Drosophila melanogaster: one gene and its partner. The protein of the gene in region 1 interacts with the protein of each later gene in a pairwise test. Each region holds a gene or a part of one and is shown on either strand. Other genes may lie near its edges.

What was found.
Region 2: the proteins of CtsK1 (region 1) and Secp43 interact in a two-hybrid assay, tested with the Drosophila melanogaster proteins (one large-scale study listed by BioGRID).

What each region holds. Positions count from the first base shown.
Region 1 is NT_037436.4:13,987,083-14,005,586, reverse strand, and holds CtsK1 (cathepsin K1), read right to left. Parts: upstream 11,357-18,504; 5' UTR 11,236-11,356; coding exon 11,187-11,235; intron 10,797-11,186; coding exon 9,807-10,796; intron 9,728-9,806; coding exon 9,117-9,727; 3' UTR 9,016-9,116; downstream 1-9,015. Other genes in the region: Nprl3 (nitrogen permease regulator-like 3), read left to right, coding at 3,961-4,094, 4,154-5,852; CG17359 (uncharacterized protein), read left to right, coding at 6,405-7,424; CG17361 (uncharacterized protein), read right to left, coding at 7,749-8,381; CG9040 (uncharacterized protein), read right to left, coding at 17,160-17,645; CG17362 (uncharacterized protein), read right to left, coding at 18,471-18,504.
Region 2 is NT_033779.5:4,448,783-4,464,329, forward strand, and holds Secp43 (tRNA selenocysteine associated protein), read right to left. Parts: upstream 5,672-15,547; 5' UTR 5,581-5,671; coding exon 5,545-5,580; intron 5,484-5,544; coding exon 4,509-5,483; 3' UTR 4,387-4,508; downstream 1-4,386. Other genes in the region: CG15439 (uncharacterized protein), read right to left, coding at 734-1,581, 1,991-4,169; ND-B8 (NADH dehydrogenase (ubiquinone) B8 subunit), read left to right, coding at 5,947-6,044, 6,106-6,212, 6,274-6,356; Gs1l (GS1-like), read right to left, coding at 6,544-6,956, 7,332-7,550, 7,604-7,667; RpL27A (ribosomal protein L27A), read right to left, coding at 8,599-8,727, 8,958-9,275, 9,507-9,509; mRpL27 (mitochondrial ribosomal protein L27), read right to left, coding at 10,222-10,425, 10,484-10,647, 10,702-10,750; CG15435 (uncharacterized protein), read left to right, coding at 11,196-11,351, 11,422-12,777; CG15443 (uncharacterized protein), read right to left, coding at 13,042-13,781, 13,842-14,178; Paris (parkin interacting substrate), read left to right, coding at 15,064-15,547.

The DNA of each region.
Region 1 (18,504 bases):
GCGGTTGGGGCTGTCGTAAATTTTGATTTGGGTTACAAATACACACACTAGCATCGACGCTACATCTCAACATTTAGAAAGAATCTTACAATGCTCTTAGTTAAAAATACACACGAAAGAGCGAGGGGCGAAGGAGAATTTGGTTCGCTCATCGTCGGAAAGAAGGTGAACTACACTCACACACACGCACGTGTGCGGGACCAACCCTACCCCAACCCCAACAAATACTACAACAACAACAACAACAACATCCGCAAGTAAAATGCGCGCCATAAACAAATTACACACAAGCTCACACAATAAGCCCCATTCGCGCGCATTATCGGTTCGTGGGTGTGAGCAAGACAGCAGCAGATCCCCGTAAATCGTGCCTGCAAATGCACGTTGAAACTTATCGCGAGCACACAAACACATGAAAAGTGGCCACGGTGCTTTCGTACAGGGGCGGTTCCAAGGGGGTTCATTTGGGATATACATATGCGCCAAAATCTAATTCATTATATCAACAAAATATTATCGAAAGAATTAAGTTTTGTTTGCTGTTTTCTTTAAATTCCGAGAGCTTCCCCGCAAGCAGGATTTTTAATCCGCCACTGCTTTCGTGTCGTTTTTGTTGGGGATTTCTTTTTGTTGCTATGGCTTTTGTTGCATCGCTAGATGAAGTAGAACAAATACAAAGCTTATCGAGGCTCGCAGACGCACACATCTAAACGAGTGAGTCGAAAAGAGAAAGACTCCTATTGTGATCTACGGAATAAAAATGAACCTACAATTAAAAATAGTAATGCTGCTCATATTAGCTTGTTGACCAATGGACTACGTGACTGCACAATATCAGGGGCATTGCTTTGGCTGTACTTTCATTGAAACAGTCGCCAAGCGTAAAATGGGTTTTAGTTTTTGCATACCAGCTACAAAGTGTCAACTTTAATTGCGTCTTATTTTAATTCACTTGCTCGCTAGTTCTGGTCCGTCTAATTCGGTCAATTACTAATCAAGAATTGAGACTGCATGGGATTTTATTATGGATATTACACCATTAAAAAAATCTGTGGGGTTGGGAGGTGGTTTTAGGGGGTTGTGGCGGTTTGGTTTCGTTCCGCGACAACCTTTGAAATTATCGAATGGCTTAGCTTTCGCGAAATAATATTTTGACGATGGTCTTGTCTGCGCTGCGCAGAAAATAACGAAAGCCGAGCGCAGGCAAAAAGTTGTCTATCAACTTTTGCTTTCATTTTGTGGCGAAAATTCGCGCGTACAAAGCACAAGGCATAAATAACAATTGCAAAAATCACGTATGCGCAAAGAGCAGAACAGGAACATTCGAGCAATGCCTGTAAGCGAGAGCGAGACCACCATAGCTCTCCCCACACACACACTAACACTTAGCTATGTTAACTGCGGCCAACTTCACGGCGTACAGGCGTGTAAACGCTGGAGCACGCAATAAAAAGTTTGACGAAAACAGGGCGAAAGAAAATAAAATAAAAACTATATAGCTCTGTGCTAACATTCTGGATAATGGGAACAACATGGCGTCGTCGATATCGTTCAACTAATTCTCATCAACTTTAATTTCACTTTGCGGTCGATTTGTTGTTAAGTTTTTCCGACTAGCTGATGCGCATGTCAAAATTTTGGTAGAGACAACAAAAACACTGCACGGCATACACATTGCAATCCAAATGCGGAGGGGTGTGCCAAATCGAAATATGATTTTAATACTGATTTAGATAATCTCCTTAGAAACTCGAGCAAAACAAACTAAAAACAACTTGAAATTTAACAAAACAATTGCTTCGGGTTGGCAACTCTGTGCGAGGGGCATAATACGCACATCTACCTTCACGTTGCACAAAACGGAATCGAAAGCAAAACAAATGAACCCGCAAAGCTGTGCGAGCGAGCACGCTATACTGACGGTTAGTTGAAAAAAGAATATGCAATCAAATATGGCGACACACAGTATGCAAAAAAAAAAACCATACAAAATCGACGCATCAACAAATGAAATATTTATTTAACTGGCTCGACTCAAAATAAAATCTGAATTTCATATATATGTGATCCAATAGATATGTATAACCCATTCGACTGTATATTTTTCGATTCAAAATATTTCCGATTTGGGCGCGCACTCACATACAAACACACACACTAGTTTTACTCACCGTTTACTCTGTTATTTTGAATTTTCACTTCATTTTGCACAACTTAATTTAATTTAACGACAAGCTACGTGGTTTATTTTTTATTTCGAAACTTTATATTTCAATTTTATAAATACAAATTAAATTTGTATACACTTTAACACTGGTTCTTTTTTGTTCCGTTGCACATTGTTGATTTGCAGCATTTAAGTGATGGCGCGACGTTGTTTCGAACGTTTACTACCTGCACAAATTAAAATGTTTCTACTTTGATTAATCAATTTTATTATTATTAATACCGTATGGCACAAGAAGCAGAAGACAAAACGCGCAGGAAAACACATAAACTGGGATTGCTTAAGACGTGTGTAAGAGCGAGACGACCAGTCGGTTTGAGCAGACCATATAGCTAGTGTGACCGTTCTAGCCTATGGACAAGACATGCCAACTGACTATTATCGCCTATTTTATTTTGTTCGCCTGCCCTGCTTCTTCTTCTTGGTTTTTGTGTTGCGCTGTTTCCCTGTTTAGCCTATTACTACTGCGCCTGGCCATTCCGAAATGCTGTACGTACATATTTCGATTTCGCCTTTCCGCCTATTCGTTGATACCCACACAAACGTATATCTGTGCATGCCTTTCTACGTAGGTATGTGTAAAATCTATACACACGGATGTTGGCGCACATATACACAAAAAGTAAAATAGTTATGTTATTAACTATTTAACCACAAGCTATTTACATTTTAGGCACTTATTAATCCTATTTTCCAAAATACAAGGAATAGATACAGAAACGAAGACATAGTAGAAAAACAAACCTACAAGTAAATGACAATTAGTTGAAATTAACTTATTGGCCACCATACTGCCGAAGAGTGCGAAACTAATTCAGAAGCGAACCACTCAGCCAAGTAAACTATATTTTTTTGTAGAATTAGTTATACCTCTCCTACACTCACACAAATATTATATATATGTATATATAGACCGCGGCTAGTACACGTTTAGCGTCGTCTCGCTCCCACCTACGATCCGCACGTATTTTGCCTCTCACAATGTGTGTGTTTTCCTCTTTTCCAACACGCTAATAAGAAATCGTCATTTTTAAAAGTGCTTTTACAGCCAAACTAACATGTTTCACAGGGGAATTTCATAGTTCTGCGATTGCCGCGTTCGCATACTACGCTCCCAGTTATTTTCACAAATTTTTTGTTGACGTTTCGAGCACAATTTCCACACGTTTTGCTCACAACTTTCCGCTTCTAAAAAATTAGAGACTGACCAACCGAAGACGGTCACACTACAGCGGAGCGATAGATCGTTATCGCTCGACCAGGGATCCTATACTATTAGCCTTGCCGATATATATTTATTTATATAGTAAGACCGTTTTTCGTTTAGTATTTTTTAGTTTTTGAATATATTATCTAAGGTATCTATGGTAAATTTAAACGATTTAAAAAAATTCCATTGCGTTGCATTTATATTATTGTTTCGCCTGCAAAATGAAAACTGACATGACTACTATTTTAAATAAGTTTTTGGTATTTTATGCAAACTAAAAGAGAGCCACACTGCTGTAAATATATTTTATATTTTACATTTATTTACTTTGCTTCCATTTCTCAATGAAGTCAAATTGAGGTACTAATAAATAAATAAAGAGTTGTTGAGGTAGTTTCTGTAGCAAACTACGATTTATAAAGTATTTTTGAAAACATAGCCAACTATTTGTTGACCCTGACCCCAGTTGATAATGCAAATGTTCATATTTTAATTTACATAAAAGGGGAAGTGTCTGTGTGCCATGGAAACTAATGTGAATCCCCTGGCCGTAATCCTGGTTTACTTCGATAGCAAGGGGGATCGGTTACTGTACAGGTATCCGTACCAGACTCTCGGCCAAACGGAGGTGGCCAACGACGAGCAGCGGAAGTCCAGGTACTACCTATTAATTCAAAGGGCACTCAGCTTGACTATACCGATTTATTCAATCACAGAAAGCGCAATCCCTATGCCGTGGCCAATACGGACGATCTGCTGCAGACACCCACCCACTTGGGTGCTGCCAAGAGCCAAGGACAACTGCAGGGATTCGCAGATGAGGTCCTGTCCGCTCTGTTTGCTGTTAAACCACAGCTATGCAACCAAAAGTTTGAACTCAAACTGAACGACGTACGCTTTGTCAGTCATCCCACTCTGATACCGCAAAAGGAGCAGAGAAGTGGTCCAATGGCCAAGCAACAGATGCTCATCAACATTGTTTTTGCGCTGCATGCACAGGCCAGCTACTCGATTGTTAAGTGCTACCACGAACTGAGCAAGCGCCTTGGACTGGCGCTGAAGTTCGAGGAGCAGCGCAGTGGCTATCTCACCGAGCAGACGGCTCAAATGGCTCGCACACACGACGAGCAGCAGCAACAGCCGCTGGAACGCACACTGGAGCTGATTGCAGAGCGCTGCAGCTTGGCACAGGCCTTGCGCTCCATCTTCCATGATCTATGCACCACTGGACTGCTGAGTACCTCGCTGAATCACAACCTAACGTTGTGCTTCTGTCTGCCCGCTAAGGCACACCAGCTCCATAAGAAGGGCAGCATGGTGGATCCAGAGACCATAGATCGGTGCCTTCGTGCACTGAAGCCCTATCATGGCATGTTGCTGCTGGTCGACTTTGCCGAATTGTTGGACTGCGTTCCACCGACTGGGGCACGCATGCTATGGCAGCTAGTCGACGTCTACGACCCACTGATCAGTCTGCAGAGCATGTCCTCCAATGCAGACTTGAGTATCGAGCATGTTTATAAGCTCGTCTCGCATTTGGTCTACTGGGCTAAGGCAACTATTATTTATCCACTCTGCGAGACAAATGTCTATGTGATCGCGCCGGATGCACCATTGCACACCAAGTCCCACCTGGTGGAGAAGTTCTCGGCCCGTTTTGCCGGTATGTCGCTGTTCGAGGTGATCTCCGATTTTTCATTGCCCACTTCAATTGGACACTTAACCACGCCACTGCAGCAGCCAGCGCGACAGGGTATCCTCGCACAAATGGTGATTTGGATGCTGCAGCACCATTTGCTCATGCAGTTGCACACGTACGTTCAGTTTATGCCCAGCGAGGATGAATTCGGAGATTCGGCCTCCTGCAGCAACCATCTAAGGGATGCCATTAGCGATGAAGAAGGAGACCAAGAACCAGATGCGGACGAGTTGCATGGCTCCATGCTTAGCATGTCCAGTCATCCGTTGCCAGTGCCAGCGGTATTGGTGGGCGGACATCGTCGTGAGGCGTCCGAGGACCATTCATCACTGGCCTCGGACAACATCGCCGTGCAGCCATCATCCAGCCACAAGTCCAATTTCAGCATCACCGCCTCGATGAGCACGGACAATTGCGACAGCCTCGATTCCATGGAGGATGAGCAGAAGCTGAAGGAGCTGCTACAGGTTTTCAGCGATGCGGATCGAGCCGCCATCCGTCGAATTCCCGCCTCTGCCAACGTGGATGATCTATCTCTGCTTGTGAAGCTGTATCAGATGGGTTACTTTAAGAGCGAGCATCATCTGGAGGAGATCATGTACTTCGAGAACCTGCGACGTTCGCAACTGCTGCAATTGCTTGATAAATTCAGGGATGTGCTTATCATTTACGAAACCGAAGATCCTGCAATTGCATCCATGTACAATACCAAGTAGAGTTTGGGACGAATTTGCATTCCTAGATTTTAATGTTGAATGTTTTTGTTTAGTTTTTGAATATAATCTATAAAATAGGTATGCATCTAATTTTGTAAAGTTTGCGAAGCAAATCAATTTACGCTTGTAGACTACATATTTTGTTATTTATTTGTACAAGCAAGTTCTTAAGTTCAATTCAATTATTGTCAAACTATGTTTTTCCGTGATTTCATACAAATTCAAAAAATTACTCATATTCAAAACAGCGTTACATTTTAAGCTTCGCGCCCATTGTACAGCTTTAAGGTATATCGATAAGTGGGGAATATTCTGATGCTCTAAGAGCCAGATTAAAATAAAATATTTAAAAAATACGAAAAACCCATTTTTAACTTAAAAAAACAACTTTAAATCATAAATCAAAGCTGATAAATTAATAAGATGCGAAGCACAGCTGATTATTCGGTATTTTTTTGTTGGTATATTCCAGTGATTGGTATTTTAATAGTTGCATTTTGTTGATATTGTATATTTTTGATCCTGCCTACGAAACTCTGGAGCTCGGCCACGATGGACATTTCGCAAATGTGCCGCGTTTGCAGGGACGAATCCGACTGCCTGTTGGATATATATACAGAGCCATATGCCTCCTCCAATCGGGTCCAGGAGCAGGAGCCGGTCTTGGCCACAATGCTGAGGGAATGCAGCGGATGCAGCGTGCATAAGGAGGACGGAATGCCGCAGTTCATCTGCGTGGAGTGTGCGGAGGCCGTAAGAAATGCCTATCGGCTAAGACGGCAATGCCGAAAGAGCCATCAGTACTTTGAACAGCTGCGTCTGATGATGAAGGAGCTGGACGATATAGAGTATTGCCTGAATATAGGGGATAACATAGAACCACAGATGCCGGTCTCGGTAATGGAAGCTGGTAAAACGCCGGAGACATCCGAACCTCTTTTAGTTGAGCTTGTGCAGGTTAAGTACATGCCTCCAGAGCCGAAGCCAATATCTTCTCCTCTTCCAGACAACAATGAGCATAAGCTCGCGCAAAGTTATTCTCCAGCAAAGACGCCACACAATAAGTCCAAGAGGAGGGCGAGATCCTACTCGGACAATGACTCATGGAGCCCGGATAGTGAGCTTGAACACGAAGATGATGATAAAATCTGGAACGCCTCAAAACGGGGCAAACCGAAAAGGGTTCCCGGACCATATCGGTGCAAGCTCTGCACACAGTCGTTCACCCAAAAACAAAACCTAGAGATTCACATGCGCATACATACTGGCGAGCGACCCTACAAGTGCTCCCTATGTCCGCGATCCTTTGCCCAGAAGGGCAACCTGCAGAGCCACACACGTTGTCACACCGGCGAGCGTCCCTTCGGTTGTCCGAACTGCCCCAAGCGCTTCCGGCAAGTTGGGCAACTGCAAGTCCACACCCGGACTCATACTGGCGAACAGCCGTTCAAATGTTCCAAATGTCAGCAAAGCTTCAAGCAACTAAACGGCCTACAAAAACACATGTCAGCACACACGCGAGGGAAGCGACGGACGAGCAGCCAAGAAACAAAAAGAAATAAGTTTAAATAGTTAAGATTTGTTAAAGGTATTTTCATATATTGAATGTCCATATAATAATTTCTTGTTTGAAATCGACAAAGCTAGTAATCGCAACCAAAGTGAGAAAGCTGCTTAAAAACTGTTGTGAATCGATCCGATTATCATTTCTTTATTATCTTATTGTCAATATGAGAACATGAAATTGTTTTTAAAACTACACTCCATATGTACTTTCATTATTAGTCGCTAACTTGTTTCTACTTTAAAAATATATCGAACTTATTTTTAAAACGATGATACAAGATGATTAATTACTATTTTAGTTGGCTACATTTTGCCAAGCGTTGCCAAGGACTATTTAAGAGCTTTTCGTCTGGTCCTTGTGGATCCTTTGGTGTGGGTGCGCCTGTGCATGGTCAACTGGGCCTTGCCGGTGAAACTTTTTTGGCAGTCGGTGCATTTGAAGGGCCGCCTCTTATCCACCTCGTTGCGAGTCTCCTTCTTCGGCTGCTTATCGTTCCGGTCCCCATCGTCCTCCTCCTCCTCCTCCTCGCTCTTGATGCGATCCGTAAAATCCCAATCCTCGGCCTCCAGGAGATCGCATGTCTCCTTGTCGCTTTGCTCCCTCTTCACGCGCGCCACGTATTCCATGGTCCTTGTGTAGCGTCTCCTGAATCTCAAGGCCTCACGCAATTTAATAAGGCACGGTTCGCAAATTTTCAGCGGAAAGCCGTCCCCGGTATCCACTGGATATGCGCTGCAGATATTCAGCAAATCAGCCGGCGTGGGCTCCGGTTCCTTGGTTCGCTGTAGATCGTCGCTCAGTCTGTCCCCCAAGCTCTTGTTGTCGTAGATGTCTAGCAGGTCCTTCGGCTCGTCCATACACACCCGGCACATCTTCACCAATTCATCCATGGCTTCGTTGCTTCCTTCGATTCCAAGCAAATACAATTCAAAAAGAATAACTAAACTGTATCGGATGACCATCAAGCCAAAACAGAAAAATACCAATTGGCGCAATTCCAGGGATGCAACATCTATGCCAATAAATATGTATTTAAATTTAGACTTATTTGTTGTTATATCAAATTAACTTATAAATATATTATTTAAAATGAACAATTAATCTAAAATGAAATGTAGTAGCAGTGAAAATTGTAGAATCAGTTGAAAGTATTCTTCATGTTATATTTTTAATTTATTTTAATTGAAAAACTGTAAAACGGGTTTAATGTAAAAATTCAATGCTTTGCTTGCAAGTTTTTTAAATAAGAAGGTATACTTATTTTTAGAATCATTATTCAAAGTAAAGATTCTTAAAACTAATTATATGTTTAATTTAATATTGATGAAATTAAATGATTAAAATTTTTAAAAATGTAGCGAGTTTTTACTGTAGAAATGATTTCCACTACAAATGGCAAAGACCCCGATTCGCATAAAACTGTTGCAACTTGCGCAAAGTTCAACTGGTAACTGGTCATTGTCTTCTAGGCTTATCGGCTTATCGGCATGGAATTAACTTAAGAAACACCATGGACTGCGGAGATAATGACCCAAGCTAAACTTAGCTCCATTTCCAGCCAAGCGGAGCAGTGATAAGATTCAAAAGACTTGGATTACAAAAGAGTTTATGAAATGTATTGCATATTTAGCGCCCTGTGGGCGTAAAAATAAAAAGAGTACACAAAATAAGAAATATGTAGGCGGGAGCGGGACAATCTACATCTCCACATAAGTGGGCATGGTCATAACACCGCAATTGTTCTTCTTGGCCGACATCAGGATGTAGCCATCGTTGCCCCAGTAGGTGGACCACGAGTTCTTCACCAGCCAGTAGTCCTCTCCATTGATCGAGCCATAGCCCACGGCCAAGACAGCATGATCCAGTCCATCTACATCGTTCTTGCACGTTGGCTCATAGTAAACTCCGTGCGAGTAGAAGCTAAATGTCTTGGGAGAAGCATCAATGGCCACCGACAGAGGACCGTGCTTGAGCAGAGCCAGCTTGAAGGCATTTGGATCGTTGGAGGTCACATTGACGAATCCCTTAATAGGTGCCACCAGCGTCACGTTGTTGACGTGACAGTAGCCATCCTGGCCCAGATAGGGACCGTACTCCTCCTCCGTGGGCACTCCGCCGGACTGCAGCATCCACTGGTACACGCGGAAATCCTCGCCACCATCGCAGCCATTGTTGCCATAGGCCCACGAGCAGTCAATCAACGCCTGCTGGGAAAGCCGGACCAGATTGCCGCCATTCTTCAGGAAGAAGGCGCCCTCCAGGTGACCAATGGTGCCAAATGACCAGCACGATCCGCACACAGATTGATCTAAGGGTAGTTTACGTTTTAAGCAATTCAATATTATCAAATTCATCTAAGTAAGTACTTAGGGAATGAATGAACCCACCTTTCACCGGAGTGACAGCGCCGTATAGCCGCCAGTCGTACTGGTCGGGAATCTCGTCCTTGTACTTGGGCACATCATAGGGGAACGGTTTGCCGGTGTTGTAAATGCCCGATGATTTGTATCCTCGTCGTGCCTTCAACTCCTCTTCGGTCTTGTCGGCCAAGTGATTAACGGCCAGCGTGTAGGTGAGTTTGGCCCTGTTCTTTGAGTGGATGTAGCGCAGGTTCTGACGGAAGATGTTCTTGCGATGCTCGTGTTCCGTGTCGCTGTGATAAGCAACTCCGTGCTTGCGCTTGAAATGGTGGAAGGCCTTGTCCACATGCTCATCGGTTCCGGATATAAACTCCTGCATGGGATTGAAGGTGGCATAGTGACCGGTGCCGGGTCCGGGGAATCCGACGCACTGCAGGCTGTCATCGATCTCGAACACCTCGTTGGGAATATCATCGTGCTCGTAGCTGTCATAGTCCAAGTAGTAATGATCGTAGTGCGATCCCAGCAGGGTGTTATAGCCCCTCATCTCGTAGCGCACGGGAATGGGCATTCGGCTGGAGGGATAATGCGGCGACTTCTTGTACCGCACCCACAGCGTATAGATGTTCTTCTTTTGGCCAATTGTCGACTCCAGGCGGAACTTGTCGCACGTGTAGCCCAAAAAGGATTCGGTGCCCACCAGGCTGAAAGGTTTCGCATCGGGCAGGATGCTCTGAATATCGACAGCCTGGTCGGCGGTGCCATTCACCTGCAGACAGGTTAGCTTGTTGTTCTCCGTCTTGGTGGTAATCGGTGCCAGCTTCAGCAGGGTTCCGTACTGACCCTCGCCAGCCAGTTGGTATGTCTTCACCATTCCGCCGTAGTAATCGATGCGGGATCGCCTCGTATTCTTGTCATACCAGGCGTAGAAGGGTTCCGCAATCTCGGCGTACGGAATGTACAGGGTTCCTTTGACTATGTAGTTTGGATCCCATTTCGGCGGATTCGTGGCATTAGCTATTGTCGTTGGCGAAAGTGTGGAGAGATTCAGATGAGAAATGAGCGGGAACTTGACAATAAGAAACGGTAAAGGGCAGCCATCGAGGTTTAAGCTCACGCCATTGCTTATATACTTCGTATATATACAGCTGCGGTCAAAATAGCAGTACATGCCCTTTTACGTTTATTTGATCTAATTTAAAAGTTTAATAAAAACATGTTCTTTTTACTTTTTAAATATACTTCATGGCAAAAAAAATGATGATAAGCTAAAGTTTCAATCCTAAAACGATGACCTCGATTGTTTTAATATATGCATGTGTGCATTAGTTTAAAGCGCACACAAACGCAGAAACAATTACTCTTTGTTTGGCTAAACACTTTAGCATTCTAACGTCTATAACTCACCTGAGAAAGCCAAGCCTGCGAGCAGGGCTAAAGCTAAAAACACTTGCATTCTTGAGAATTCACCAGAGAATTGTCTGGAATATTAATTGATCCCGACTCTAGTATACTACCTATCTTTTCGAAGAATTAAACTGTTCTGCCGGCTCAATAGTCCGATTGCTTTAACAACAACTTTCTATGGGTGAGGAGATAACGCCGCCGTGAAAAACATCGGTATTAATCGGTTGAAGAGCTTTCTAGTTTGTAATAAGAGCTTATCAAAGTTCTTTGCTTTTTGTCATGGTAGTATTTTATTCTACAAATTATTCGCAATTCTATGTAATCCGTTAACATTTTCTTTTATTTAAGAATTTCTTTATTAGAAGAAATATCTTTTCTGTTCACTTACTGAAGAATTGCTTCTTTATTTTAATAAAATATCATGTGCTTCGATTTTGTAACTTAAGAGGTTTAGTTTGATTTTGCAATATTATTTTAAATATCGATAGCAATTACAATTTTTATTGCGTGCACAGGGTGCACATGATTATACAGATATTTTATACATCTAGTGTGACCAAAGTGCTGAGATTAAATGTTTTTTTTTTTAATTTAAAATATTGGATGCACTTCTTTCTGGCTAAGCTTTCAATAAAAAATAATCGAAAAAACCGCGAATGATCTAATATTCAAGATTAAAATAGAAAAATTTGTCAGAAAAAAATAAAACCGTGTCTAGGGATCAAAATCGGGATTGGAAAAATTCTATTTTTAAATTCGTTAAACAGCTGACAGTCAGGAGGTATAGATAGTCACTCATCTGTCTCATCACAACGACTCTCTCTCGGCTCTCTCTTCCCTTCTCTCTGTGTCTCAGCGATATAAAGTCTCACCCTCTCTTCGGAACTTGAACCTACTCCAAGTTTTGCTGCATTGCGCCCGCTCTCAAACCGAACCGATAGTCGGACAGCACGGGATCCCGAAAGGACCCCGAGCAGATGTCAAGCTACCACCGAAGGAGCAGCATCGTCGTCGTTGTCGTCCTCGCCCACACATCGTTCTTTACCGTTACAGCTGTGGGTTCGGCTCAGTACCGTTAAGTTCGCCAATCGCACAAGTTCGATTCCCAAATCGCATGGTTTTTTTATACCAGCAAGAACTAGACAACACACAGATATCTGGTAATGTTGTAAGACGTGGATTAATGCAAACTGCAAACCGTACAAGTGCGCCGTACAAGAAAACGCAATTAAAAGTGCATTAAAAATTAAACGAAAAGTGCTTGTGTGTGCGTGCCAGTGAGGCAAAAAGTTTTGCCTGCGCCGAATTGGCCAAAGTTAAATGTTTTAAACGCCAAGTTAGGCGAATTATGTGAAAGTTTTAACGCGATAGGCGAAAACAAAATGTTTCTGTAATTGGCGGCGGAGGAAAAGCAGTCCGAAAAAGGTAGCAACGTTGCTGAAAATGAAATCAAACTTTGATTTATCGCTGATTGGTTCCTGATTGGCTGTTTTGGCAGGCCTTTTGAATCCCCACACAAAAACAAGAACTCCCAGACGAACATACATATACATGATCCATCCACATACATAGGTACTACAATACAATACATATGTATGTACATAGCTGTTGGCGTTTATATGTATGTGTTTTTGGTTCAAATCTGTATAGTATTATGGGCATAGAGGAGCATTTCCTGCCCTTGTCACAGTTGTTACATTTTCTCTATTCCGCCGCTCACCAGCTCACACAGTCGGTCATCAAAAAGTCAACAAAAACAATATAAATTATGTTCGTGGAAAAGCACAAGCAGCAGGATGCTAGAAGACCTTGAATGCCTCTTAAGGTGTAATTGGATATTGACGTGGAACGAAAATTGCATTTTGAGCAAGGAATAAGAGCTTCTTTGTAAAAGGATTGTTTGTAATATGAAGCATATTTGTTTTGGCCTTTTAGTGGAATGAATGTGATTCAATATAAAAATACTTTTGACTTCGTTTTCTCTCAATTTTTAACAAGAAATAGTTAACCATTTAGTGTAGATAATCAAAATCCTATGTGCGAAACTAGAGAATCATTTATTTCTCCCTAAAAGAGAAATATGTAAATAGTAACGTCGTATCCATTTAAAAAAAGACTAGTAAATTTAATTTTTAAATAACATTTACCTAAATTCCTGGAACCAAACTGAAAGGCAAAACTTTCTTATTTATGAGCCCTTTTCAAAAGTTTGCCAAAAAACATTTTTTAATTTTCTCACGTTTTAATCTCTCGCAAAACTGGCGAATAGTTCGTTTTGGTAGCATACTTTTACGGGTCACGGAGTCCGTAACTTTGAATTTGTGGGAATCAAAATCTGTAAGGCCCAGCTGACTTGGGCCCCCAGTGAAAGACAAAAGCCAAACACACACACACAAACACTCATAGGCGCGCGCGCGTGTGTGTGTGTAACCAAAAAATTATAAAACTTTTATTACCTTAGAGCAGGACACGTTCCGAAGGGAAAAACGGAAAGTTCTAAAATATATTGCATATACGTATACACGTGCATTTGTGTGCTGCTCTCTCTCTCTCTCGCTCTGAATGTGTGCGAATGTTTTTGTGTGAATGTGATTTGTGTGCGTCTGCGGGTCCTCTTTCGCTGTGTGTAACCTACATTTTAAACGGCATCGGCATCGGCGACACATAAGAAGCCAAAAGCCGTGGCCGAAACCAAGTGGGCGGGAGTCTGGGGGCGGTGGGGCATTTCGGCGTATGTAAATTTGCCTTTATCAGTGCCTAAAAGTAGGACCCCCATACACACACGCACACGAGTGCAGTTTCCGTAAAGCCCTATGTACCGCTAGAAACAACGGTACTCTCTAGGGGCAGGCGCACCGCTCTTCCGCTCTCTCCGACTTGCTCCTCTCAGAGAGGAAGAGAGGCAGAGAGCGGGCCAAGCAAGCTTCGGCGATGCAGAATGCAGGATGATGTTTGCGTTCGTTGCTTCCGTTACCGTTACTGTAACGGTGCCCCTCTCCCTTCGGAGAGGTTCTGAGGTATATCCTAGTACACACACACACACTCACACACAGGAGCAGCAGGATGTGCGTTCATTCACATTGGCATTGCAAGTGTGGGCTCTCAAAAAATAAGCTATTTTGGTCTACATGGAGTGAAAAAGGGTTACAAATTCAAAAAGGAATGCGAATATAAAAATGTATGTACATATAAAATTTTGATTTTATGTTCTCTTATTAATTTGTATTATTAAATATGAAAATATTATTTTGAAATACAGAATAATAAGGTCAATTAAAATAAATAAATGTGATCCTTAAATACACATTACGAAATCAATAATCTAACTAGATTCACACCGAAAACGTAGCGAACATTTTTGATTCTGAATGAAATGAAATTTGTATTCGCAACACCCTTTTTAACAGTGTATGCAATGGCCACTAAGCCCATGCCAATCCCTTTCGTTCTCGACTGCCCTTGTTATTGGACTTGCATTTCCGCTATGGCGCTACTTGCCCCAGCCGGTTGAAATTTATATGCAAAGTGCTGGAAGGGATTGCATTATGCACATTTTAATGGTTTGCCGAGACATAAAAATATCTCGCACTTAAATAAATTGCTCTGCTCTTTGCTAGTTACTCGCTCACTTTCTACGAGTCCTTTGCCCCTATGCCGCCCCTTGTGCTGCTGACAAAAACGCCATCGCTTATAAACGTGTCGGTAATTACATAAACATTCTGCCCACCGTCGGGTTAGAAATATGCACGTATTTTTGTTTGCCAACTAAATGCCTTGTTAGAGAAAATTTCTTTGGAGTGAGCAAACTTTTAGTTTCCCTGCCCTCAGCCACTTTTTGCCGCACCGAAGGAATGGAAAATAAATTGCCCTCGAGAAAATGCAAATTGTTTTTCAAATTATACATCCACAAGGAGGAAGTTTATGTCTTTGTTGGGCGTTTAAGATTTTTATCAAAAAGTGAGCAATGTGAAAAATTTTCAAAAGTTTGATTTATGTGCTAAATATTGCAAAAGATATCAACTTAGAAGAGATATAACTACACTCATGTATAGATTGGTTAGTATAGAACTATTTAGCTAGTAAAGAACGATAAAAATATGTATGTGAAGGAAATGCTCTAAATATTTATCCATATTTCACAAACATGGACAAGATTGTCTCATAATTGAAAAGATTGTTTGCGAGACCTATGTAAATAAATGGTCGTCATTTTTAAATTTCCAATTCATTTAGCCCCAGTCTGTGCCCCATCTGATTTGCATTGCAAAACATGTAAATGTCAAAAGCAGTATCTAAAATGTGACGATCTGTTCCTCAAAGGTGCCCATCAACGTCAGCAGCCACACCTACAATCTGCATATATCGGGCACTTGCCATCATCATCACATCATTGTGAGTGCTAACCAAAGCAACACCACCGACCGCCATCATCCTGGCCGTTATCATCCTCGGAGGCAAACACATATTCCATTATAATTCCCGCCGCTGTGTCCCACTTCATATCCCACTTCTGGCTATTTTTATGCCATTTCTGCATTGTTCATTGTTTAGCGCACATTATCGCATTTTCCTCTTAAGGCATCAGCCACAGATATTACAGCAGCCTTATCCTCCGCTCCCACCTCCCCTCTGATTCCACGTCAGCCCATCGCCTACAATTGCCAATGGTGTTAGTGTGGTGTAATACCCTGTAAAAGCTTAGCTAGTTTGGCGGATCCTGAAATAGGATACTTATAACATTCAGGATCAAAGCTGTTTTATTATTATAATAAAAAAAGGATTTTAACAAAATAAAATTATATATAAGAATGTATAAATCAAATCAAAGTTATCCACAATTTAATGCAACTTTTAGACATTTGCGTAGATAACACCAAATCTAGTAGATACATAGAATTTTCGATAATTTGCAACCATTTCCTGCTTGATATTGTTATTGACTGGTCATCCCAACCTAAGATTCCCGGCGAATTCACAAATCGGTTCATACCCTGGTGATCTGGTGGTGGGGATGTAGGGTGGAAACTAAAACGATGATTCAGATTGTTGCCACACTTGGCTCACTAAGCGGCCCAGCGGGTGCCACAAGAGGAAACATCGGTGTGTGAGTGTGGTTGTGTCTATGGATGTGTGCTTTGCCGCCACCAGCACACTGGAAGATTGGATCTCTCTCGGGCAAACACAAACACTTGGATGCGGAGTGGCTTTCATCTGGGCCGCAGTGCACTGGATACACGGGATTTCTGTTGGCAGTGCCACTGCCAGAATGTCGGCATTGAAATCGAAAACAATGGTCCCATTGTGGTGGCCGATGGCGCTACTCAGGCTCCTCCCTTTTCGTTATCCTTTCGCCATTAAACAATTGTCGCCTGTGCGCATCAGTAATTAAGTGTCCCTGTGCATTTATGTCTACTTGTATGAGGGCATAATTACTATTTATAGATGCTATTGGCTTACGTCTAAATAGAAACACAATGCGCCAAAGCGCTGGTAAATGTAAATGTGGGCGCCTAAAAATATGCAGCAAAATGCAGCTGACTTTGGTAATACTACGCCACTAGAACGATTTATACTAATCTGGCTGCAGAGACTTGTATATAAACCACAACAGTTTATTAAATGAATGTTTCGTTCAAAAAATTTTTTTCCTTTTAAGGAATACTTGATTTTTAGTTGGCTTTCGATTTTAAGTATTCAGAAACGATTTGTAATGATTAGTTTCTCTCCGAAGAAAGATCATTTAAGCCCTCAAATACAAAATTGTTGTATATTTTGGATTAATAATGTATATTTTTGGTAAATTACAAAACGTCTCCTTATCTTTGTATTTTTATATGGATTTTTTGTACAGAAAACAACATATGAAATATTCCCAGACTAATGTAGATTCTACAAGATGTCTCTTGGTCCTCTTAAAAGTTTGATGTAAAAACTTTCAGTGACTATGGGGAATTTATCCTTTTTTCGAACTGCTTAGCCTGTGCGTTTGCGTTTGTTGGCGGCAGTATTCGCCTTCTTCTTGGCTGCCACAGGTGTCTTCTTCTTTTGGGCAACAGGTGTTTGCTTCTTGGCAGACGCGGCTGCCGCTACTTTGCGTTTGGGAGCAGCGGTGGTGGTGCGCCTGCGCCGTCTAGCTCTGCGTGCAGCAGTTTTCTTGGCTTTTTCTGCCTTGGTTGGAGTTGAACTGGAGGTCGTTTCGGCGGAGGAACCATCTCCAGAAGTTTCTGAAGAACTACCTGTATCGGAAGCTTCGCCGGAGGAACTGTCCTCGGAGGTACTAGCATCATCTTCTGAGCTACTGGATGCACCAACACCACTTTCCGAACTGGACTCTACATCAGAGTCGTCATAGTAGTCATCACCATAGTCGTAATAATCGTAATAGTCATCGTCAGTGTCATCAGCACCCGTTACGAAGGCAACCAATATGGCCAGGCTTAAAACCAACAGCAGCCTCATCTTTTTTTTTTTGTATCTATAGAGTCAACGAACAGATAGGTAACCTTAGGTATAAACGTCTGAGTTTAAAAGTCTTCAACACTGGGTATTTATAGTTTTTTCTCCTCTGAAGAAATTTATAAATATATAAAGCTTTTTTACATTATTTTTCTATGTACATCTGTAGAATGCAAATATTGGTTTTTTAATTCATCGTCTTAATTTTCGGTGGCTTAGAGCACCTGTGTGTGCTGCTTGTATTTGTTTAACATTTTTCGATTGCTATATGTTGAAATTATGAAATTATATTTTGTGTTAGAGCACGAAAAAGTAATATAAACTCTTTTATATTAAAAGAGCCAAGGTCACAAATGTCTTATCTGGATTTTTGAACAATTTGTCTATGGTTTACGCGTTAGGCGACCTGCTAGTAGTTTTATAGAAAAAATAGATATGACATTAAACGTCTTTAAAATTATATAATTTTTCAAGTATATGCGGTGTATGTTTTTGTTTATCAAAAATATATTTATTTACAAATGAGGGAAAAAACACGTGCCGATAAAAACTTATGTAGAATGTTTTCTTGTCTTTTGAACATTGGGTGAAATAGTTAAATATATTTCAAAATTTCTGTGATATTCAAGTTTTGTACAAAATTCATAATAATAAACACCCATACCCAACAACCACATTCTTGGTAAATATCATTATCATTATTATATATTAATTCAAAACCTAACTTATAAACGTCATAGAAAAAAATCTTGGTAATTTTGGGAACAAATTTTTTTGGTATAATTTTTTATTTTTATAATTTGTAGCTACGAATATAATAAACTGGATTTATCCAGAGCGCCTACGTTTGTTGGGTCCAGCA
Region 2 (15,547 bases), on another chromosome or scaffold:
GCAAATATATAGATATAAATTAACCTAAGTACTAAATTAATGTTCTCTTCTAAGCCCGGTGTAGGGCATACCGAAAAGTACATCGATTTCGTTGTTTATATGATATCGAATGCCGTGAATCGATTATCATTCGATAGCACAACATGTGGTTGGGCTCCTAACAGCACATTTAACGGAAATGCCAGTGGAATGCCGATAAAATACAAATCAATTGTATTGGAATTGGTATTTGGTACTTGTCCATAACTCTGATTGTTTTCAGGAATATGATGGAAAAATGCAGAGTTTCCTTGCTAAAACACCAAAACATGGTCAACATTCGTGGTCAGATCGTTAATAATTTGAAAATTGTATAATTTTATATGTGTATTTAAGAATCAAAAATGAGATGGAATGCTGGTCATGCTAAATAATAAACAACAATGTTAAATTAATTTCCGTTTTCGTATCATGTCGGTTGAACGTCTCATGAGTCCTTTTCGGGTTCCGTCTTTAATGAAATCCAATTCGGTAATATTTATATGGTTTTTATTAATAAATGTATTTATAAATATGTTAAATAACTGAGCCGAACAATTCAGCGAGTGACAAATTACAATTTGGTCAATATTTTATTTTTAATATGAATGTGTCTTACTTATTTTATTTTGTGTATTCAATTTTAGTTTTGTAAATATCGCACGGACCTAATGATATTAATGGTACAAAATCTACGTAAAAATCATGTTTGCTTCTATTTCTTGGGCAGTGCATCCTCGTCCGTGGGATCACAGTCGGCACAGTGCCAGGAGTAGCCGCGAATCTTGGGCGACTTCTTGAGCGGCGGATCGAGGCAGGCGAAGTGATAGTGCCGGTGGCACTCGTCGCAGGTCACCACCTGGTTGGACTTGCCCGTCTGGCTGCACACGCAGCAGCTGATTTCCACATTAGGCTTGGCGTTGGACACCCGTGGTCGACCCACACGCGGCTTTCGGGGACTTGCCTTTCGTGGACTGACCTTTCTTTTAGGTGATGGTGTGGGGTTGACGGAAGCGCTGGCCGCAGTCTCCTTGGGCTCCCGAACCTTTTGCGGTGACGCTGCCGGCAGCACGATGGGTGCCAAGGCTTGCTCCGCTCCCTGGACACTGTCCTCGACTGTTTCAACTGAGGTGGGGCGCGAGGCTTCGTCCACGGAGCGCACCGCATTGGCCGGCACGTAGAAGTATTGAGACTCCGGCGCATCCTCGCCGGGTAAACGCAATGCCTTGAATATAATCTTAATGGTGCTGCCCGAGGTGTTGCCCGCGTTATCCAAATGGGTGGAAGACTCGTCAAGGTGGGCGCGCTTTTTTCGCTTCCGTTTATGCTCCTTGCCGATCGATTTCTCTGTATCCGACGACAGGTTGTGTTTGTTTTTGTGCTTGTCCTTGCGCTTACCCTTGCGCGATAATTTTCCACTGGAGTCGTCAATCGAGTCCTCACAGCCAGATAGGTTAATCACGATAGTATTGGGCGTGGGCAGTGTTGGAGCTGCCGCAGGAGTAGCCGCCGAAGCGGCAACAGGAGCAGCATCAGTTGTGGGAGTGACATTTTCGGCAGGAACTGGCGGAAGAAGATCCGTGACATTAGTTTTATTATTTATTATTAAACATACTTGAATTTGCGCAAAAAATTTTTTCTTTATTATTTGTTAACAAAAAAATAATTTCTTGTATTAAATACCAATTGGGTATAATTCAATAAACGTAAACAAAGATCAATGTTTGAGATAGTTTTGACTTTCTTTGTACAGGCCAAAAAAAAAACAAGTGTAGTGATAATCAGGATTAAACAGAAAACCAATTTCTTCATAAATCATAAATTTCTCTAACCATCAAGCGAAAAATTCCGTTAATTCACGCATACATATTTACACATTTGCATTTAAAAAAAAATAAACCAAAAACTCCAAATCAGCAATAATAATCTAAACAGGTATTGTGCCAAATCGAATTCTCAACAACGAACTCACCATTAATTGGTGTTTTACATGGGGATTGGAGTTTAGGCCGTTTCGGCGACTTAGTCAGATCTTCTATATATTCCGGAGCAGGAGCTGGCAGGGATTTGTTGAGCGCTCGCTTGGTGTGTGACTCCTTGGGTACATTGACAGCGGCCACTGGAATATCGTCCAGCGAATATCGATCCACATAGACCAGATGGCCATCCTTATTGAAGCGAGTGCGTGACTTTCTCGGACCCGATGAGATCTCCGTGACGGCATCCGAACCCTCAGACTTGTCGCAGCATTCGGAGCACTGCCAGCCATACTGCTTGGATTTCTTTGGGGGTCGAGTGAGCGGCGGATTCAGACAGCCCAGGTGGTAGTGCAAATTGCAAGTGTCACATTTGACCAACAGATGCTGATCCTTGCTCCTCTTGCAGATGCCACAGGACACAGAAGGGGCCGCCTCCACGGATGCCGAGGAAGTGCTGTGTTTGCCCTGTTTGGCATGAGTACTGAGCATGCGTGACGAGTCCATTTTACTGCCCGGTGGCCCCAGATGACCCAACGGAAAGCCCACGCCCATTTTCAGTGCAGCTGCCGTGGGCACCGAGATGGGACGCTGGGGTGGAGTCGGCGTACTGGTCTTTGGCGGCGCCTCTGGCAGTGGATGCGCAATGAGATCCACGCTGGGCAGCGTCATGTTGGGTGCAATTTGGCCCAAAGCCGTGTGCAGAGACTTAATGCTCGTTAGCAGGGAATCCTTAGTGGCCTTCACTGCCTTGCGCTCCTCCAACGCGGTGTCGTATTGAGCTCTCAGCACGTCTTGATCCTTGGACAAGATAGCGTTGTGCGAAATAAGCTCCCGCTGCTGCTGACGGAAGTCATCCATGCGGACTATACGGTCCATGTAGTAAGCAGTGAACTCAACGCTGAATGCCGGCGCAATGTGCCACTTCTTCCGAATGTCCGTCAAGGCGTTAATGTGCGCCTCGCGCTGCTCCAGATGCTGCACATCCACTGACATAATCTCCGCCTTGGCCAACAGTCGACGACAGGCGGAGGCCGAGGTGGTGAGCAGGCGTGACATTTTCTGCGTTGGCACCCACGGCGTGGGCTTAAGCTCCTTGTGCCTGGTATACTTGTGTTGGATCTTGAGCAGCTTACGCTGAATGCGTGCTTGGGCTGGATTTGGGTGAGGGGCAGGTGTCTCATGTTCGGCAGCTAACGCCTCTTTTTCCCTCGCCCGTTGCATCATATTGAGCCGCAGTGTGTGGTAGTTGCGCCGTCGCTTCTTGATCATCTCCTTCTCCGAGTGCACCTTGCAGTGAGCGTAGAACGGATCGGCGGCATCGTCCTCGTGGTGCGCTTCGATAAGAAAGCCGGCCACCTGGGCGCAGGTCACGTGAAAATAAGTCTTGCACATGCCTGCATCACAACCAATGCAAACGCCCGTGCGAGCGAATAGAGCGTTCTCGCAAAGGGAACACACCTTGGCGCCCCACTTGCTGTACTGCATCTCGAAAAGCGTCACCGAGGACAGCTGCTCCACTTCGCCAAAGGCCACGCCGGGCACATACAGAGCGCAGATGAGGTGCACCCACTTGCCCACGTCGGTCTCCTTGTAGATGCCGCCCTTGTTGGGACACAGCTCGCAGTCCGGTTCCGAGACCCCAGCACGACAGGCCTCGCAGAACCACGGTTCCGTCGAGCAGGTGGAGTTGGTACTGGATATGCTCACGTTGTCGCTGACGCCATAGCATCCTTCGTGGACAGATACGCCGCAGGAGTCGCACTCCACGATCTCGTTGACGTCGTCGCTGCGTTCGCCCAGGCAGACGCAGCACATCCGCTTGGCCGGAGCACTAGACAGCTGAAGTGGCGCACGAGGCACTACTGGTGCTGCCGGGGAGGAAGCTGCGCAGTGGTCCACTCCATTGATCCCGTTCTCCAGTGGTGACGGTTCCGTTTCCGCCAACAGCTGCCGGAGCTGCAGTGTTGAATCCTCGCTCTCCGCATCCGAATCCGATTCAGAATCGGAGCCACCACTGGCGTCGCTGCTGCTACCGTCGCCATCGCTCTCGTCCTTCGATCCGTCCGAGCAGTTGTCGATGTCCGGCAGGAAGTCGCTATCCGAGGAACTCTCGCCCAAGTCAAAATCGAGCAGGGCCTGCGTAGTAATCTTCGGCTGCCGCGCTCGCTTCATGATTCAACGCTTATTTAGTCCGCAATTGTCTGCACAATCTCCGAAAGTCTCGGGCCAAGGCAGAAACTATCGACAGTCGATAGGCCGACATGGCGATGACACGGACAGAATAGTATTCCGTCTGTATATCGATAAAATACATCTGTTGTAAGGATATTAGGGATATTTTGTAAAAATGTATCCTTTATTTTGAATCCTTTGTTAAGAAATGTAGATTCAGGAGCATAAAAGTTTATAGCAGGCTCAAAAACAATAATACGCTACAAGTCAGGCTTTTATATTTTTTGCTTATATCTAAGCTGTAATTATAGTAAGCTATAAATATAGTAGATAAGTATCCTAAAAGACTTCCAGCTGCTCAATGGGCAGCCACTTAGAGCTCTCCAGAGCATCGTACAGACGGCGGTCGGCATCAATGGCCTCTCGGTTCAGTTTGTCCACATCCAGGACGAACTTGTGCTCCACCAGTCCGTTCTCATCCTCAGCTCCATTGGCGGCGGAAGCGGTCTGCTGCTGCTGCTGCTGCTCGTACTGGGCGCTGCGTTGTGCGCTCCAGGCCTCGGCGTGCTGGGCCAGAGTCTGCGGATTAGAGTGCGACTGCGACATGGCCTGCTGGTAGTATGCAGCCGCATCTGTGATCGAAGCACCGGCCTGCTCGTAGTAACCTTGCCAGGCCTGGTATCCCTGCCAATAGGTGCTGGTGGGGTCGTAGTACTGCGAGTAGTCGGTGCCACCTGCTGCAGTCATACCGCTTCCATATCCATAGTTTGTGTTGCCTTCGCCCACAGCACCACCCAACTCGGATTTGGGTTTGGGCACGGCATTGCAAATCTTTATGGGCTTGGTACCCAATCCGATGTACCCGTTCATGTCGTACAGCGCTGATTTCTGCTCATCCTCGATGCCAAATCGCACAAAGCCGTAACCCTTGGAAAACCCCAGGCTGTCCAAGATCACCTTGGCGGTTTTGATCGATGTGAACTTGCTGGAGAACACCTTGTACAGCTGATAGTCGTCCACGTCCGAGCTGAGGTCGCCCACCCAGACGCTAAATTCGCGTTCATTCCCGGGCAGCTTGTACGAGTTGCTGGCCGAGTTAAGACGGAATCGCACAATGGGATTGGTGCCCGGAATGGGCTTACCGTTTAGCTTGTGCATCGCGTCCAGCGCATGGTCATCGGATATGAAGTTGACGAAGCAGTAGCCGGCCGGTTCGCCCGTGTACTTGTTGCGCATCAGGCGCACCGTGGTGGGATCTTCGCCCATCTTCCGGAAAGCGGCGATTATGAAGTTCTCCGTCATGTAGGACTCCAGCTGAAATGGCCATGCGGGCTTAAAGGGTCATGTGTCTGGGGTAATGCACGTTGCTACTTACGCTTCCCATCCACAGTTGACAATGCACGGACGCCATAATTGTTCAAATACGTGTTCAATTGAATATTTTCCAGAGACAAATGATGTTTACCAAAACAAATGAGTGACTGGCCGTCAAGCATTTATCGGTATTTATCGATGTGGGCCAATCAAATGCTGACCTGGTGTCAGCCAAGACAATTGCCTTGGTTCTTGTCTTTGGAATGGATATTCAAACGATGCAACTAATGGTTCGCGTCTCTGGTGAGTTAGACGTTATTTTAGTTTGAGCCAAAAAGTAATTTGTTTTTAAAAAACAATAATACCAATATGTAATCCAAGACAGTTTGACAACCCTGCGTAGTACCGACATTTAAATAGACTTACTTCCTGAACATTTCAAAATCGCAAAAGTGGTGCCAAAATGGGTATTACTCTGTTCCGATTGGCCAGTTTTACTCCAAAACTGAAGGAGCTGCGAATCATTCTGGATCCCAAAGGAGACACTTCCAAGGGAGTCAGGTGAAATTGTCATTTTCCGCTTTTAAATTATATAATTTGCTAAAGCAGCGTTCCTTTACAGGGAATACGTGGAAAGGTTCTATCCAAACCTGAAGAAGAGCAATCCCGACCTGCCGATCCTCGTGCGCGAGTGCTCTGGCGTCCAGCCCCGCCTCTACGCCCGCTATGGTGAGTAGATTAGCATAATGTGCGCTGCTAGCTTCCCCCACATCGATTCCCATGTCCGCAGGCAACGGCAAGGAAGTGTCCCTCTCCCTGGCCAACCACGCTGCTCCTGACATACACAAAAACCTGGAAGCGGTTGGCAAATAGAACTTACGCTGGAAAACTATGTAGATTAGGCGCAAAATAAAGGCAAAGCCAGATGCTTTATGCACACATACGTATACGTGTATATGGGATAACATTTACACTTAAATTCATTTTCTTGGTAGGTACATCGATTTCCAATTACAGCAATAGCATCTTTTAGCTACAAAAAGTACGTCAGCCATTAAGTTCAATCCGTGAAGGCGGGCAGCCCGAACTGCTCCGGCTTGAAGTCCGCCAACGAGGCCAGCACTTGTGTGGCGTGCGAGGTCTTTTCCTGGGACAGTCGTGGGTCCGGCACCATCACCACCTGCATTCCGGCGCTGTTGGCAGCCGTCACGCCGTTCGGCGAGTCCTCGAACACCAGGCAGTCGGACGGTTTGGGCGGCACACCGAATCTGCCGGCGGCCACTAGGAAAATGTCGGGCGCAGGCTTGCCGTTGACCACCTCCTTGTCCGACGAACCGCACACCTTGTGGTTAAACAGGGAGAACAGCTCCCGATGTTGGGCCGTCTTCAGCTCGACCATGTCGGCGCCGGAGCTGGTGGCCAAGCAAAAGGGTACCTTGTTGGCGTGCAGGTGACGCAGCAGGCGCTCAGCACCTTGAACGGGGAAGGAAGCACACGATTAACAAACGGCTTTAATCACAGTAGGATAGTAATTGAAGCAGAAGTATTTATAGGGAGAAATGCCGATTAGTTTTCTGGTCGTGGTGCTAACCTTCCAGCAGGGGTACGTTGTGGAATCGCTCGTGGCACATTTGCGAGTACCGCTTGAGATAGTCTCCGGTTGTGATGGGCAGCTGGCACTCGGTGATGGCTATCTCTGCCGAGCGCTGGTCCGTGGTGCCCATTACCCGGAAACGCACTTCCTCCGGATACGGGCGGCCAAAGGAGGCGGCTATTTGCCGGGTGACCTCCTCGTATATCCTCTCCGTGTCTGAAACGTGACGGCAAAGCGAGAACTGGGATTAGTACCTGGCATCAACTGGGCGTTCCGCATCAGGATCTCGGTGTTGGCGCGCTGCTGGCGTGCGTACTCCTCCCACGACATCGGCAGCTCGTAGTGCTCGACCATGAACCGGGCCAGCGGTTCCGTCTGCAGGCCCATGACCTGCTCCTTGATCTCAAAGGGATATGTCTTGCCGTAGGGCTCGAGGATCATTTCGGTGGCCACAGTATAAAGGCGTTCGGTGTCTGTTCGGCAAATAGTTAACACAGAAAGCAGATACAAGCACGGCAGCACTCACCCAGCAGCAGACCGTCCATGTCGAAGACGCAGTGCGTCACCTTTCGCAGCACTTTGTTGGCCATCTCGCAGCAGTTCTCCTCACTCTGGGCTTCCGATTATGTAATGTTACAAAGTCAACAAGTTCGTTTCCTAACTGCAACACAGAGGTCATAATCAAGTTACTTTGTTTTTACTGGAACATCCCCCGCCCACACAGGCATGCCCTCCACTTTGACTACGTTTCCTGGATTCGGTGCCTCTTGTTCGGTCGTGTCCTTGACCCAAGGTCGCCGCACCCCATCACCAACAGCAAGGTCAAAGATGGAAGTTGCCCTCATCCCTACGGCCTTGACCTACACGTAATCTGCTTCCGCTTTTTGCAATATCGGGCGTCTCGTACTTTTCCGCCTCTTCCGAATTTTTCCGCGAGCTTTCTGCCCGCCGCTGTGTGACCGTAGCTGCGAAGGCGCAAAAAGCCTAGTCGAGAATAGTGCTAAAAATGGAGGGATTAACTGATAATGCGCACCGACGCAGTTATACTCTTTAAATTACTATTTATTTTCTTTATATTATTACTGTTCCTCTTAAGTTACAAAAATAGGCATACTTCTAATATTGTCAAACTCATTTAAATTTGCCCTTGTTATTTGATTCAAAATACAAGTTTTCCTTTGCCACAACAAACTAACCATATAGAAATTATTCTTTATAAAAATATAAAGGAAAGTTGTAGCAGGAATAGAAATAGAAAGTTCTAAACAACTTGCGCCAAGCGAGCAGAAAATGAAGCCCCAATACCTTTTAGTAAACACATTTTGTCGGAATAGCAAATACTTGTTTTTCTTTTAAATTTATTAAAAAACAAATACATTTTTGATGGTCGAATGTAGTCCACTTGCTTTTTTCTTCTGTAGAGGAGGAATCTGCAAGGGAAACAATAGCAATTAGGATACTGCACTTCATTGCTTCGCCGACGAATAGGTAAGACAGCTAGACACACAAGCTCACCTTAACTTAGGCGCTCAGCAAGCACACACCGCCGGCCTTCTTGATCTTGTCCTCAGCCTTCTTAGAGAAGTACTTGGCCTTCACGATGACGGGGCGGGCGGGCAGGTGACCACGGCCCAGCAGCTTGTAGTAGCCCTGTGGAGACATGAGAAGGACACCAGAGTCAATACAATGGGTTACAACGGGGTGAGAACGGGTGCACATCCTCTTCAAGAACTGCTGGCTTTGATCTGAAAGGCTGTCCTCTACACGGTGAGAGCAATTGTACGGTAGCATTCTGTCCGCCCATCGCCTTGGGTGTATCTTCATGTTGAAAGCGGCAGCAGAGTTCGCGTAGCTGGATGGGGAATTCGGGCGAAACTTACGAATTTAACCAAGTCGATGACGGGAGCCTTGGTGCTCTTCTCCTTCTCCAGCTCGGCGAACTTCTCGGCTCCGACCAGGGACCAGAGCTTGTCCAGGTTGATCTCGGGCCTGAACTTGTGCTGGCGACGCAGATGGAAGTTCCTCATGCCCACCTTGCCGAAGTAACCAGGATGGTATTTGTCGAAGTTGATGCGGTGATGGTGCATGCCACCAGCGTTACCGCGACCTCCGGGATGCTTGCGGTGCTTGCCGATACGGCCGTGACCGTGGCTCACATGACCACGCAGCTTCCTGGTCTTCTTCCGCTTGATATTCGACTGTAAGGGAGAGCAGAAAAGAAACGTGTTTTCATTGAGCATTCCTCAATCATTTTCACCCACGTGCTGGAGGTTATGTTTACTTGCTCCAGTCGCTATGCTCACTTGGCCATTGCAGTCAGTGGGCAGGCATGCTGCGGCACTTTGAGTGAGCTCTTATTTCTATTCCACATCATTCGCCTGCCCACAAACCACATTTTAGGTGCACCACATTTACCGACGTCCACTCACCATCTTTAAAATTGTAGGAAAGAAAGAAGCGAAGTTGGCTGCGGTTGTAGCAGTGTGACCGCCCGGCGGCGATAACAAAAAATACGAAATACCATCCGGACAGAAAACATATACCCCTAACTACCATTTTAGTCTGAAAAAATATCTCGTACACACCATTATATTTAAGATAAATTTAAGTCTATATGCATTATGAAAATATATAATCATGAATAATTAAACATAATACTGCATATATAAGCGTTAAATTGAATTTCACTACAACAATACTAAATAAGTTTTTACATTCATAGGATAAAACGTGTACTTGATTTAAGCGAAATTCTGTAGGCAGTGCCTATACCGTCATGTGCATAATTTTATAATTTCTTATAGATGATTATGGCTTATTATTAAAGTTCATTTTACAGTTCAATAGCGTTCGGCTTGGCTAAAAAAGGGGGAAGTGTAGTTTTTGTTTTTGAAGTTCGCAATGTAAAAAGTTTTGCGAAATTAATAATCGAAAATGTTGCATTGATATCTGGCTATTAACTGGATTTCTTTTCAAATTCGGGGCGTGTATTCGATAGTTGGTTCAGAGCATTGCTAAATACAGTGCTGTATAACGGTCGTGCTGGCATGTAAATATAACAGGTGCTGTTAAGCACATCGATGTTAATTGCCAAAAATTCAAATATTCACATTTCCATTTGGTTTAAATTTTGTATTTAACAATCTAGATTTCCTCCACTAGACGAAATCGCTGATGCTGATTTTCGGGCACAACATTGAAGAACTTCTTGTAGATGTTCTGGCCCTGGCGACCGGCGTAGTTCCGCTGAATCCAGGTGTGGTCCCAGTTGGGATCGATGGCCTCGCAGGTCACATAAACCTTGCCGTGCTCCATGGCGAAAAGGGTTCCATTGCGGCCAAAGCCCACCTTTCAATGGGAAAAAGTATAAAAATATGCCGGGATAACTCCTTCCTGCGCTACTCACATTCAGGCCCGGATGAAAGCGCGTTGTGAGCTGGGTGGCCAGTATTGTGCCCTCGGAGACGTGGTGCCCATCCTGGACGCGCCATCCGCGATGTTTGGGCCTCGCATGGCCCTTCTTATTCCTCGTACTTCCGCCGGTTTTCTTGCTGGCATTGCGCACGGTGGCTAAATGGGATTGAATTGATTAGAATATGCAACCGGTTCGTGGGAAGTCCTTACTCATCAGCGGCTGGTCTGCCTTCAGGCACTGCATGGTCAGCTTTTGCATGATATTAAACGACATATTTGTGATTTTATTCCAGTAGCGAGGTTTGTTTATGCAATTCCAGATGGGCACCAGTGTGACCCCCGAGTTCAGCTAGATCAAGAGCATTAACAGACTGTTGGCCACTGTTGCCAATTGGTGTTAATAAAATCTAGCTTTGTAAATATATATCAAATAAATCTACGTTTGTATTTTCAACAGTATTATTTATGCTTAAATAAACTATCGTCTTAGTCATTAATATATCTGTCACGTGTTTAGCTAATAATAATTAATATTCAAAAAATTTGCTGTAATCCTGTTATAGCTAACTGGACATCACTGCCGCAAGTGGGTGGACTGTTGAGTTTTGAACCTTCAGTGGTAGGGCAACACTCGCCGGAGTGTTGAAAATTGTCATTGTTTATTTTTTCCGGCATAAGCATTAAGTTTAAGGTTTGCCATAAGTATGACGTCGTGGGGCAATATCTGCCGCATCTGCAGCAGCCCCGCAGACTACGAGATATTCGCCAAGATTCCCACGTATTTGCACGGCTCCACAAACGAGTTTCTCAACTGGCAAAAGCCCATAAACGTTCTGCTGGAGGAGACGACGGGCCTGAAAGTAAGTGACTCCATTCTAAAGTAGCCAGATAAATGTTTATATGAGTGCCTCCTCTTTCGACCGACCGCAGAACTCCACGGACGACGGACTGCCACGCAACATATGTGCGCCGTGCATCTCCTATCTCAAGCATGCCGTCACATTCCGGGAACAGTGCATCAAGAACGCGCTGAGTCTCAAGCTGGCGGAGCTCTACCAGCAGAAGAGGGTCAACGTTTCGGATGCGAACAAGATGGACAAGGAGAGCGCCCTCTTCACGGCGGAGGATCTGAATTATGTGGAGCAGAGGCCAGTGCATAATCTTCTGCTAAACAACAGCGCCAACAAACTGGAGTCATCCAAGGACAAGGTACACAAGCGACTGCTCAATCAGACGACTACCCAGCTAGACGGCAATGCTGAGCAGAAGATCCAGTACTTAAACGTGCTGTTCAACAAGCAGCAGCCTCACAACAGCATGCCCAGGCAACCGCGGGATGGCGAACTGCCATCGAGCAGTGGCCAAAATGACGACGAAGATGACGACTATGCGGTGGCCAGTTCCAGCGACGACAACGAGGAGGCGGCCCTGCTGCGCAAGCACAAGAACTGCTATAACTACACCGAGACCAACTTCGAGGAGGACGATCCCATGGAGCAGGATCAGCTGCAGCTGCGCGACATCAAAGTGAACATACCGGAGCCCATGTGGAAGGAGCGCAAGTGTCCGGCATGCTCCAAACGCTTCATGTTCGAGGACTCGCATCAGTCGCATCTGGACAACTGCGTCGAATACCAGTTCGTCACGTTTGTTACCGAGGTGACCAAGTTGCTCGAGATTAGGCGACAGAAAATGGTCTCGCCGCACGAGTTCATCCGCCGCATGATATTCGCTCTGCACAAAACTTGCGCCTGGCTGCAGGAACATTCCATAGACTCGCTTCTGGCCGAGAAGCTCAATCAGGTGAAGGTGTCCAACGGTGAGAAGATAGCTGAGCCGCCAATTCCCATAGATATACCCGATCCCCGGCCGGTGCAGGAACCATCTCTATTCGACTGTGCCAGCGGAACGACGACTCCGATCACGGAGGAGAACAACGTGCTGTACGCCATTGAGCGCTCTGAAAGTTGCCATTCCCAGGGCACGCCGACGGTGAAAAAACCCATTCCCATTCGCGGAAAGGCGGCGCTGGGAATCGGGCTGGACAAGCACAGGGAGAGAGCCACGTTCCTCGAGAAGCTGCAACGGGCCGCTGTCTCTCCTGGCACAGTTTCGCAGGGTCCAGCGCCCGTTTTCTCAGCCCGCTGCGGGCAGTGCAATTTAGAATTTGACTCAGTCTCCGAACTGGAGGTGCACAACCACAATGCCCACAGGGGCAATGAACTGAACGCCGACGACGAAGCCAAAAGGCGTCAAATAATCGCCCTCTTCGAGGATGATATTTAGGTTTTACAAAGTCCTGTTTTTCATGCCGGTGGCTCAATCAAACTAGTAATCATGTTGACCACTTTGCATCTGTGTTTTTGTCGTATTGTATTTATTTATTATTTATTTATTTTATTCTGTTTCCATTAGTGATTTAGTTTTGCTTAGCGGCAATCCATGTTCATTTACAATACATTCTCGAGTACTCAAAAGTCCGTGGCTTTATATTTATATGTACTCTAAGACCAATAAAGAGATTTGCAAGACTTATTCTTAACCATAAGCCTATGCGTATATTTGCAAGCTATTCAGTACCAGGTTGGAATCTGCTACCTTCAAGTGCAGACAGTTCTTGAGCAAGCGCATCGCGTCCAGGTTGAGATCTGGATCTCGCAGAGCGAAGAGCTGGTTTAGGGTTTGCACAAGATTCTGCGGGTCTGCCAGTGCGAATATTAGACTTGTGTCACCTAGGGCTACCAGATTGGTCATTACACGCACGGCGTAGATTAGGCACAGCCGGTCGGCTGGCGATGCTAAGGTGGCTTCAAAGAAACGCACCAGGCATTCGGCCTGTTGAGCATCTAACTTGTGCTCCTGTGTCACTATTTCCAGTTGGTGCACTATGTACATGAAGTACTCGCTGGCAGGCTGGCCGTGGAGCTTCTCAGGCAGATTCTGGCCAATGTACCTTCGATCCTCGTCACTCACATGCTGCGGGCAGCGGGTGGCCACCAGGGAGAGGCAGATGGCCGCATCTTCTTGGCAGCCATTGGGCTCGATGTAGAGCCTCCACAGCTTGGGTACTATTTGCATTTGCAGCAATACGCTGCCGGCCTTGTCGCATGTGCCCAGAACGTTGGCCAGTGTCCACAGGCAACTGCGCTTGAGGCGTTCGGCCTTGCCATCAAGGTAGGTGACCATGTAGCTGCCCGCCAAAGTGACAATCTTTTCGGAGACATGGGCCTCGCCCAAGGAAAGATTACACAAGCACTCCACGGCATCTGTCTGTCGTTGAATGTGAGGTCCTGAAAGTCAAGTCAACCTTTTTATATAAAACTAAAGCTAATGAGGGTGCAGTTGGTTACCAGTTAGCTCCTTAACCAGAACCTGAATGGCGCCAGGAATAGCTGCGAATGCATTGATGTTGTCATTGCTCTGGAGGAACCCCAGCGACAAGCGGCACAGATCCTCGGAGGTGGCGTGCTTGCGACGCTTGATCCTGCTGGCCATTCCAATGACGTCCTTGGTGCCCATCTCAAGAGCCGCCACTTCCTGCTTAACCTGTCCAAGTCCAATGCGCAATGAGTCTTTCGCCTTTATGCGGCACTCAACACGGTGATCCTTGGCATATGCACGAATCTTGTTTCGCAGAAAACTTCCCTCCCCAGTTGTCGTCACAAAGTCCATTTGTTTAAATTTCATGGAATCCTTAGCAAGTGAGCAATATTCCGATAATAATAACAGATTATCGATAACTATGAAAGGTTAACAGCACTTCACTCATCAGCTGTTAAAATTGTAAACAAAAAAGGTACGCACTTGTTTGTTTATATTTTATTTGGAGTAAGTAATGCTTATTTAATTTCAGGTCAATGGTGGTAATCTGAGCCCGGAATCGATGGATAAACATATTCAGTGGCACCCAGGAACCCGATTTTTCATATGTGAATTTATTTTTATACTGGCAAAGAAGTTCGGCGAGGAGATTCATTTCCTTTTTGTGCCTTTTTAATTTAATTTTTCTATGATTTCCACGGAAAAAGTCCAGTGCTCCTTCTGTCCAAAATTATTCACCACTAGCTAGGCGAAAATGTGAAAAAACTATACGAAGATAAATGTTTGTTTTTCCAAAGAAATTTATTTCAATTTTATATTCTTCAACAGGTAAAGGATATCGATATCCGATAAGAATTTTCCCATCAAAACTTGGGCTGACCACCACAGGGCGACCCTTGCAAGTTTGCGTTTATCTCAGCTGTTAAATATGGTAAACACACCTTAGTTTCAAAAATCATCATTTTGATAAATAATTTGAATTTCGAACATCGATAATAAATCGATTTAGCATATGGCCCAGAGAATAGGGTGCCCAGTGTACTGTGCACAATGTGAAGTTTAGCTTATTATTATTTTGAATTGTTCATCAAGGCAATCGCATTAATTTTCAATTAATTGGGATGTATGAAACGGATTCCTAAATTATAAAAGATTGCTTTTCCAGCTATAAGCTATTTAGTATATACATCAGGTAAGTAATATAGTCCTTCATAAAGTTCAGCCTAATAAGTATTGTTTATTACAGGGATAATGGCGGAAATATGCCGAGTTTGTATGGATATTTCTGGTAAACTCGTTAACATATTTGACGCCAGACGAAGAACCAGAGTTTCCATTGCCGAGATGATCGCGCAGTGCACCGGATTCGAGGTCAAACGTGGCGATTTGTTTTCGGAAATGATATGCCCACAGTGCTATGAGGACGTAAAGAGCGCGTATGGGATAAGGCAAACTTGTGAGGAAAGCCACCAGTTCTACTGCCGAGTTCGCGATGAAGGCATCGAGGATGCTTTATGCGCCTTGCTCGAAGAAGAAGACTGGGAGATTTCGGAAGACGAAGATGCGCGGATTGATTCTGCATCCGCTGCTGATGACGATGGGAAAAGCGACAGCAAGAAGGTAGCATTCGAATGTCGAGAATGCCACAAGAAATACCAGCGAAAGGGAACTTTTCTGAGGCACATGCGAACACACATGGACGGACAATCCTTCCCATGCCCCTACTGCAAGCGGA